Linked DNA regions of Saccharomyces cerevisiae S288C. The gene in region 2 interacts genetically with the main gene of each other region. Each region holds a gene or a part of one and is shown on either strand. Other genes may lie near its edges. The genes, in order: SRP102, YPC1 and ASG1.

Region 1 (3,397 bases), on a different chromosome or scaffold from region 2:
GTTTCATTATCCTATTACATTATTGATCCTTGTATTTCAGCTTTCTCTAACTTCGATGACAGTTTCTCATACCTTATGTCATCATGTCCACATTTGACACCATATAAGATAATATACTGGTAGTATAACCACTAGTTGATGACGATAGTTGATTTTTATTCCAACACGCGGACATATTAAATGTACGGTGGCTAGCAGGCCTCCTATTCACCATATTTAATCTTCATTAGTTGTACCTTTGACCATTGACAATCAACACAATAATTATGAACAAAATTTCCTGGTACAATGATTATGGTAAAGAAGAAAAAAAACGCTGCTTGCTATAACCAAATCAGAAAATATAATACTATAATAAAAATACATCAAACTACTTATCTTCAATTATTTTCCCGCATAATTAGATCATATAACTGCTGGAACATCAAACAAATATTAGCTCGCGTGGCGTAATGGCAACGCGTCTGACTTCTAATCAGAAGATTATGGGTTCGACCCCCATCGTGAGTGTTTTTTACACCAGCAGTCAAAAAGAGTTACTTTTGATATTGCATGTGTCGATGATGCAACTATGTCTTTCTCTGCGTACGGAATCTAGAGCTATGTTAAATGCTTGTTTTTAAACTATCTATCGTTCATCTAGTTATAAATTATAATTATATTACAGTTTTTCATCTATCCATTCGCGCCATTGGGAAATTTTTCTTTTATTAATACTGCCCTCAAAAGCAACTACAGATGCTTCCAAATTTGCAAATTTGAACCCGTCGGTAGACTGTAAAACGTCTAGTGTATTCTCTGCATAATCTTCTTCGTTAATTTTTCTTTCAACCTCGTTCAACGATTTTTTCCTTCTTTCAATAACCTTTTGAATTTCGCTTTCTAAAGCATCCTTGATCTTTGATGGTGGTCTTGCAGTGAACAATTCGCTTTTATTGCATGCAATTAAGATATCAATACCATTTTCGCAACTAGATTCAGTAATTGATAATATGTCTACCAAGAACTCAGCTGTTGTTGTTAATTTCTTAGGATCAACTGTTGAGTCTACCATAAATATCAACCCTTTAACAAATTTGGCTCTTGTTTTCAAATAATCTGAGAGTTTATAACGCAACTTGACATGGCCTGGGAAGTCCACTAACGTGACGCCGGAACCATCGTAATCCGCTGCTGATAACGGTTCTTGAGAAACAACAGTTGGTCTTACTGAATCTGTGGTTAGCAGCGTAAGCAAGCTCGTTTTTCCAGAATTTTGAGGACCTGCAATGATAATAGATGGTTGATAACTTTTTTGCTTGATCCCTGTCTTGGAGGATGCCTTTTGCACTGCTATTAGCGCTATGGTTGTCCCTATCACCAATAAACAGGCAATAATAAGTGTATTACTAAGCATTCTGATCCCGTGTGCTATTATGCTAATAAACAGCAGTGGTAAAGTAATAATTAATTGATCAATACAGACACTTAAAGCCTAACTATTTCTTTTCTTCTCATCTTTTTCAAGTTTAATGATGGTTCATATTTGTTTTCCATATCTCTTATTTTTTTCCGCCACTAGATGAAAAAAGTGAATGGTGAAAAATTAAGAACAGTATTGCAGCAAAACCTCTGACACTTTAGGACATAAGGTGGCCCGTCTAGTTTAGGTAAAATGATGAAAAGATGCTTCAGTATCCTACCACAAAATGTCCGGTTCAGCTCAAAGTTCACAAGTTTAAACTTACCAAAGTTAGATTTGGCGGATTTTATAGACTCAAATAAAAGAGGAATCAATGTTCTTCCGTCGTACAGAGATGAAACCGCTAGCACCACTCAAGCAACTAATTCTAAAGAGCTCAGATTACTTTCCAAAACACTTCAGGGCCAGTCGTACCGGGACCAATTAGAGTTGAATCCTGATGTAAGCAAAGCAATCAACAATAATATTATGGCTGTACATATTCCCAATAATCTTAGAAGGGTTGCTACAAATTATTACAAAGAGATTCAGGAACCAAATTCATTACATCGTCCCTGTAGAACCAAAATGGAAGTGGATGCACATATAGCGTCCATTTTTTTACAAAATTATGGTTCTATTTTCCAAAGTCTGAAAGAATTACAAAAAAGGGTAGGTCCTGATAATTTTAAACCTCAAAGAATCCTTGATGTTGGATATGGCCCAGCGACTGGTATAGTTGCCTTGAATGATATTTTAGGCCCAAATTATAGACCTGATCTAAAAGATGCCGTTATTTTAGGGAATGCGGAGATGCAAGAAAGAGCCAAAATCATTTTGAGCAGACAACTTAACGAGGTGGTCGATACTGTAGAAGAAAATGTGTCTACAGAGAAAGAGCAGGAAACAGATAGACGGAACAAAAACTTTCAAGAGGATGAACATATTGGAGAAGTGATGACAAAAAAGATAAACATTATGACTAACTTGCGGTCTTCTATTCCCGCATCTAAGGAATATGACCTCATAATATTAACGCATCAACTTCTTCATGACGGGAATCAATTTCCAATTCAGGTGGATGAAAATATTGAGCACTACTTAAATATTCTAGCGCCTGGAGGCCACATTGTTATTATTGAACGAGGCAACCCAATGGGATTCGAGATTATAGCCAGGGCAAGGCAAATTACGCTTAGACCTGAAAACTTTCCAGATGAATTCGGAAAAATACCAAGACCTTGGTCTAGGGGAGTAACAGTCAGAGGCAAAAAAGATGCTGAATTAGGAAACATTTCCAGTAATTATTTTCTGAAGGTGATTGCACCTTGTCCACATCAAAGGAAATGTCCCTTACAGGTTGGAAATCCTAACTTTTATACTCATAAAGAGGGTAAAGACTTAAAGTTCTGCAATTTTCAAAAAAGCATCAAGCGTCCCAAATTCAGTATAGAGTTAAAGAAGGGTAAACTTCTCGCTACTTCATGGGATGGTTCTCAAGGAAATGCGTCGAGGCTAAAAGGAACGGGAAGAAGAAATGGTCGTGACTATGAAATTTTAAACTACTCCTATTTAATATTCGAGAGATCACATAAGGACGAAAATACGTTGAAAGAAATTAAGAAATTACGGAATGAAAATGTGAACGGCAAATATGACATTGGATCACTGGGTGATGACACGCAAAATTCCTGGCCTAGAATTATCAATGATCCTGTCAAACGTAAAGGTCATGTTATGATGGATTTATGTGCGCCATCAGGAGAACTTGAAAAATGGACGGTTTCGCGGTCGTTTTCTAAACAAATATACCACGATGCCAGAAAGAGTAAGAAAGGTGATTTATGGGCCTCAGCGGCCAAAACACAGATTAAAGGGCTGGGAGACTTGAATGTTAAGAAGTTCCACAAGCTAGAAAAGGAGAGAATCAAGCAGTTGAAAAAGGAAGAACGTCAA
Region 2 (3,120 bases):
GAATCTTGACTCGAAACTGTACAACTCCCAGAATGGGAAGCTGGTTGCAACACGGTTGCTCTTCTTCGCCTGCGCTTCCTTTCATTCAGAACAACACGTGGTTTTTTCACATAGTCACCATAATCAGATGGTTCTATGATATTATGAGGAAGATCAGTGTTGTTTTGATGAACATTAAGCAGGTTACTCATATCAACAGAAGAGTATTCGTAGAATGTATTATTGGATCCTAAAATAATGACAGCAATGTCTACTTGGCAAAGTACTGACAATTCATGAGCCTTTTTAAATAGTCCTGCTTTTCGCTTTATGAAAGTAACTGTACGATTTCTATCATCTTTGATAGGTTCAATTTCAATTTTTCTTCTACCCATTTAGCAGAAATTTTTTTGAAAATAATTGTGTTTGCTTATCTAGAGCTTTATTAAATTTTTTTCTGATGAGATAGGCCTGCTCGAAAAAATAGTCTGTCTTTGAATTTGGCTCGTATATTTCTCCCTTCGAATGAATGATAAAGAAAGACTCAAAGGAATGATGTAGTGTTATATAGATTGGCTAAAATAATTTGGCAAAAGAAAGATGGATAAGGATAGTTCATGTTTTTGAGTCCTTCACGAACATAGGAAGCCGGGTATGCGTGGAGATTTAAGTTTTGCCAAGCCTCCAATTACTCGAGCGAGATTATTTTTGCAGAAGAAACAAAGACGCCGCTTGTTACTAAAAAAAGAAGGCAACAATAATGCAAAAAGTTCGAACCAACTGTACCTCAAGCCGTTTTGTAAGCCACTATCATCGGGAACGGTACAGGTAGAATGATAGATGAAATTTACGTAAGCGTTAATGGAAAACAATAACGATGTGGTGTAAAAGCTAGTGCGTAGTGTGAGTGCCACTAGTTTTCTTTGACAGCTTAAGAGCAAGCTTTTGGAGCTCACAATCAAGTGAAACAAGAATTATGTTCATTTTCTCCTTCGGAACTGCAGAATAAAAATTCTTTATACTATAAACACCGCCATTATCAAAAAAGTATTGCTGAATCATGGTATACAGCGTGAAAATCTTCATGGCATTTCTACAAATTCTTTTTAGTTAGTATCGCCAACCATTAACCTTTTTAGTAATGCTGACGTTAAACGAAGGCGAAAAAAAATACTTGGCAACACCATCGTTTATATTTTTTTCAAATGGAAGTGTCGGCCGACGTAGCATAGCAGGAAAGATTCAAAGGCAAGGGTTTCACATAACGTTACCCTTCTGACCACGCCCCTTCTTTCGATCCCACTAGTGCGGACGGATTATCACGCAAGTTTTTTAACGCGAGACATCGGAAAATATTTATGCCGATTAGATCCGGCCCCTGAAACTTTTTGTTTGATACTTTCAAACGCACTACTCTACCCCATGACATAAAAAATATCTGTCTCCGGTTATATATGTCTAAATAGAATTCGGGTAGCATTTTATTTTTATCGCTTATAGGAAAAAGATATTTGCATATATATATCTATATATCCTATATACATCTATATAGTTATTGTGTAAGGGGTTTTTATAAGGTCCGATACTTACAGAGATTAATTTGTAAATAAAAGCAGAAATCTTTATTTAAGAAAATAGAAGATTGATGGGAATATTTCGTTGGAACTATCCAGAGAGTTCTGTCCCCGGCGTTTGGGGAGAAACAACTTCCACTATTGACTGGTGTGAGGAGAACTATGTCGTTTCTCCCTATATTGCCGAGTGGTCAAACACTTTAACTAACAGCGTATTCATACTGTCAGCGATTTACACAACTTACTCTGCTTACAAGAATAAATTAGAAAAAAGGTTTTTACTTATTGGCTTCGGGTACGGTTTGGTCGGAGTAGGATCATGGCTATTTCATATGACACTGAAGTATAGATTCCAACTATTGGATGAACTTCCAATGATATACGCCATGTGCATTCCGACATGGAGTTTAGTATGCGAGGCCAAAGAGGCATTACTTAACGGAGATAATCACAAGAAGGTTCCTCTATTTGAACAGATATTCATCGGCGTAATTATCGGCCTGGCCGTTACAACAGCAAGCATACTCTACGTTATTTACAAAAATGTCGATATCCATCAAATTTTGTTTGGCGTACAGATTGTAGTTGTGGCTGCTACTGCAGGAAGTTTGACGTACAGATACGTCCATGATCCACTTGCCAAAAGAAATCTCAAGGCTTCAATGGCGCTCGGCGCAATTTTGTTCTTATCTGGCTACATTTCGTGGCTACTTGATATACACTATTGTTCGTTCTGGGTGCACGTTAGAAGAAGTATTTTGGCTTTACCACTTGGTGTACTGCTTGAACCACACGGATGGTGGCATATATTAACTGGTATGGGGATTTATTTCTACATTGTTTCTTTGGAACATTTAAGGGTCATTACGCTCAACGTCAGCTGCAATTACCAGTTCATCTGGAGATGGAAAGTCTTCCCTGAACTGATATGGAAAGGGCGCAAACCCTCAACAAGATATTCACTTGAACTATTTGGCCCATACGTAGAAGATCAATCAATTGAAGTTAAAAAGGAGAAGTAATAATTATAGCATAATATATATTCATAATGTATAGGCATATTTATTTTTTATTTTTTTTATTTCATGTTCTATTTAATGACGAATCACGAAGAAAATATATCTAAGAAAAGATCTTTTGAATCCTTGATTTGCGAATAGTTTAAATGACCCAGCTTATTGCTCTGGTGAAAAAAAACTTTGTGCGGTCTCAAAGCCGTCGGCGGCAAAATAACGTGAATTGATGAAAGTAAATAAACAAAACAAAATCTCTAATTGTTGTAACACAAATACTAAGAAATTTGTTAGCTAATTCGGGACATGTACCAAAATAATGTATTGAATGCTATTTTGGCTTCTGAAAAATCAAACTTTCAATACGATAGTGGAACAATATTAAGAAACCACAAAAGACCAATAATAACATTTAATAACAACATAGAGCACACAGTATCCGAACCTAATAATTTTACAGGCTATGAGGAAAAGGAAGATTTGGATATAATGGATATTTGTCCTTATTACCCAAAAGCAAGAATGCTGGCGGATGCCATTCAACATGCCAAAAC
Region 3 (3,762 bases), on a different chromosome or scaffold from region 2:
GTGCAAAAAAGACAAATGTAATAAACGATTTGCCCTTTCATATTCAGGATCAATATTTTCTGCGTTAGGTATCAGTTCTTTGGGCAACGAATCCAACCAATTTCTCAACTTTAATTCCAAGCTAGTAACTGTCTCATGAGAAATTATATTACTAGTTTTTTTTATCGGATATAGTTCAGAAATGATCTCATTTAAAATCAAAAATAGTTTTGTATGTTCATTCGAAATCCCCGTACTTGATAAAACGGAGTGTTGGTTCTCAGGTAGGTACGCCACCTCAGTGATATTCTCATCTGATAAATCCAGGGGGAGAGTTTGGTCAAAATCGTCGGGGGAAATAGATCTCGGTAGGCCCAGCATTGCATTGATATAAACGTCCAGTTTATAGATTGTATAAAAAAGGCGTTTCCTCATCTCAATTTCTATTGGACTAAAACCAGAATTGGGGCTCAATTTCCTATGAAAGCCTGCTCTCAAAGCACTTCTCATGGCGACACCGATATAAGTGTAACACGTTGATAAACGTGCGGAACATTGTAAGAATATAATCAGCATTAAAATTGCTTGTATGGAATTCAAGTCACGGGCATTTGTAATGTCGATTAGTTTCCTTGCTGCAATGAAGTACTTGTAACCTTCATCCTGTAGAAACTTTTCCCTTGACGAGTCATTTGAGACAATGGATTTCGAGAATAATGCTCCCACAGCGATTGCAGCGTAGCACAATGGTAAAAATTGCATTTGCTTAGACGTATAATTGTTTGGGTCTGTCTCATACAACTCATCCAATTGTCTAATGAACGATGGTCTGTGATAAAATCGGAGAAGAACACAGCAATGTTCCCAAGTACTTTTCACGAATTGTAAAGCGATCGCTTTTGGTGGTAGAATTATTTTTATTTCTCTACCAACGGGGATATTGGAGTAGGTATCTACACTGTCTTGTTCCCTGTTGCTGGAGGCGCTATTCGAGTCACTTTTCATGTTAGGTAAAAATTCGTCTGGAGTGGAGTTTTTTGAATTTGAAGAAAGTACTGGTTGGATCGGAGAAGAACTGTCATTTACGATTAAAGTATATTCTTTCACAGTGTCATCTAAAAACGACTGCGAGTCCCTCTTAAAATTGTGAAAGATCTGCAAGAACACAGGAATATCCAGATTGTCTATATCAGGTAACTGCGGGAAGACCTCATCAAATATTTGCTTGTACCTGTCAATCTTCGATTGTAACCTTGTGCTCTTAGTCTTATACTTTCTTGGTTTAGATGGATTGTTACTTGCAGGTATTGTAGAAGCACCCGGTAAAATAGCCCTTTCTGTTTTAATGTTTGAGAGGAGTTTATTTGGATTGGAAGCGGCGGCTGCCACCACAGTACTTGATGATGGACCAGTAGTAACATTGCCCAGTGTTAGAACTCCGGAGTTTCCGGAGTTCTGTGTTCTCTTCGTAGGCTTCTTATAAGTACATTCATAAGAGTACACAGTACAATGGATACATGGTTGCTGACCATCACATTTAACTTTTTTCTTTCTGCATTCATCACAGGCTCTAGTGACCCTTCTTCTCTTGACAGACTGTTCCCCTTGTTGCGCTTGTTCTGGCATAACGCCCTTATCAATTATAATATGCGCTCCTTTTTCTTTGTCTCTTACCTTATGGAACTCAAATAAAAAGAGGCTTTTTTTCTATATGTTAACCTCTTCGAGATTTTCTAACCGCTTTATAAAAAATTCGATTACTGGTTGTCTTCAATGCAAGGAACTACTCAACAATAGAAGGTCATGTCCAGGTAGACAAACCTCATTACTGTAGTCACTTTTGAAAAAAAAATTACCAAAAAAAAAAAAAAGAAAAAAAGAAATCACTAGGGCTTGAAGAGCGTAGGTCTTATAAAATGTTTTTTAAGGGCTTGAACGGAAATATAGCATATATGATAGGTCTAAAAAAGTTACGAAATAGGTTATGATCCATGGATGAGGTAAACAAAAAAATGGAAAAACATAAACAAATCAGAAACGGTATAGAGAGAACAGGATGGTAAGAGGTTTAGATGAATACCGGCTCTATAGAAGATTGAAGGTTTAAATAATAGTGTGTAAATTGTGCGTTCAATTAGCAAAGAAAGGCTTGGAGAGACACAGTAATAATAAATGTCTGTTACCAGTAGGGAACAAAAATTTAGTGGTAAGTATAGTTCGTATACAGCCCAGGATCGCCAAGGGCTTGTTAATGCGGTGACATGTGTTCTTAGCTCGTCAAGCGATCCTGTGGCTGTGTCAAGTGACTATTCCAATAGCTTGAGTATTGCCAGAGAGGTCAACGCTTATGCTAAAATTGCCGGATGTGATTGGACGTATTATGTACAAAAATTAGAAGTTACCATTGGTAGGAACACAGACAGCTTGAACTTGAATGCTGTGCCCGGTACAGTCGTGAAGAAGAATATAGACATTGATCTTGGTCCTGCCAAAATTGTGTCTAGGAAGCATGCTGCAATCAGATTCAACCTGGAGAGCGGATCATGGGAATTACAGATATTCGGTAGAAATGGTGCTAAGGTCAATTTTAGAAGGATTCCCACAGGTCCAGACTCTCCTCCTACGGTGCTACAGTCTGGTTGTATCATAGACATAGGTGGTGTGCAAATGATCTTTATATTGCCGGAACAAGAAACTATTATATCGGATTATTGCCTGAATCACCTCATGCCCAAATTACTATCTACTTATGGTACGAATGGTAACAACAACCCGTTGCTACGTAACATTATCGAAGGTTCTACCTATTTAAGAGAGCAAAGGTTACAGGAAGAGGCTCGATTACAACAGCTGGACCACCTACACACCCCATTATCGTCATCATCAGATGTTAACCCAATAGGGGATCCACATGGAGACACGATTATGATGGAAGAAGATGAAGAAGATGAAAATTACACCAGAGGAGGAATTAGACCGAATACATACACGTCCAGTAGCAACAATGCTGTCACTAACGGTAATGTACCCCATATAGAAAATCCATCAGACTTGTCGCTGGATGAAAACAGATATATCAAACCACCACAGTCGTATGCATCGATGATCACCCAAGCCATTCTTTCAACACCCGAAGGTAGTATTTCATTAGCGGATATTTACAAATTTATCTCTGACAACTACGCATTTTACAGGTTTTCTCAAATGGCGTGGCAGAACTCCGTGAGGCATAATCTGTCCCTAAATAAAGCCTTCGAGAAGGTGCCCAAAAGAGCTGGTCAACAAGGTAAAGGGATGAATTGGAAAATTAGCGATGAAGTCAGGCGTGATTTTTTGAACAAGTGGAATGCTGGTAAATTGAGTAAGATTAGACGAGGCGCCTCTGTGACAAGACAGCTGCAATTGCACATGTCCAAATTTGGAGAAATACCTGCTCCTGAATCTTCATCAATTGACCCGAGGGGGATAAAAGCACAGAAGGTGAAAAAGTCTTTACAAGCTACGAGCTCGATTTTAGGTGAAAGCGCCCCGCAATTACAAAGAACTCAACTCACTGGCCAAATTTCTACTACGACATCCATGGACGTAACAACAAACGCAAACGTGAACAATTCCTCTCTGAGTTGAAATTCAGCGTCGTCGAACCCATATGTATTATTAAACAATAAAGAACAAAGACCCGTTAAGAAATATCTTACACCTTTTAGATTAACGATTAAATAAACAAGAATTCTCGATTTATATCTTTTTATTGAATGAATTTTTTGATTCTTTATGACTTCT

What was found.
Region 1: mutations in YPC1 (region 2) and SRP102 together harm fitness less than expected from each alone (positive genetic interaction), as found in Saccharomyces cerevisiae (one large-scale study listed by BioGRID).
Region 3: mutations in YPC1 (region 2) and ASG1 together harm fitness more than expected from each alone (negative genetic interaction), as found in Saccharomyces cerevisiae (one large-scale study listed by BioGRID).

What each region holds. Positions count from the first base shown.
Region 1 is NC_001143.9:159,600-162,996, reverse strand, and holds SRP102 (Signal recognition particle receptor subunit beta), read right to left. Parts: upstream 1,397-3,397; coding exon 662-1,396; downstream 1-661. Other genes in the region: tRNA methyltransferase RSM22, read left to right, coding at 1,655-3,397. UniProt on the Saccharomyces cerevisiae protein: Component of the signal recognition particle (SRP) complex receptor (SR). Ensures, in conjunction with the SRP complex, the correct targeting of the nascent secretory proteins to the endoplasmic reticulum membrane system.
Region 2 is NC_001134.8:594,491-597,610, forward strand, and holds YPC1 (phytoceramidase), read left to right. Parts: upstream 1-1,624; coding exon 1,625-2,575; downstream 2,576-3,120. Other genes in the region: SMP1 (Smp1p), read right to left, coding at 1-374; YBR182C-A (uncharacterized protein), read right to left, coding at 871-1,065; YBR184W (uncharacterized protein), read left to right, coding at 2,873-3,120. UniProt on the Saccharomyces cerevisiae protein: Alkaline ceramidase that hydrolyzes phytoceramide and also dihydroceramide into phytosphingosine or dihydrosphingosine. Prefers phytoceramide.
Region 3 is NC_001141.2:100,625-104,386, reverse strand, and holds the start of ASG1 (Asg1p), read right to left. Parts: upstream 1,606-3,762; coding exon 1-1,605. Other genes in the region: forkhead family transcription factor FKH1, read left to right, coding at 2,152-3,606. UniProt on the Saccharomyces cerevisiae protein: Probable transcription factor involved in the stress response.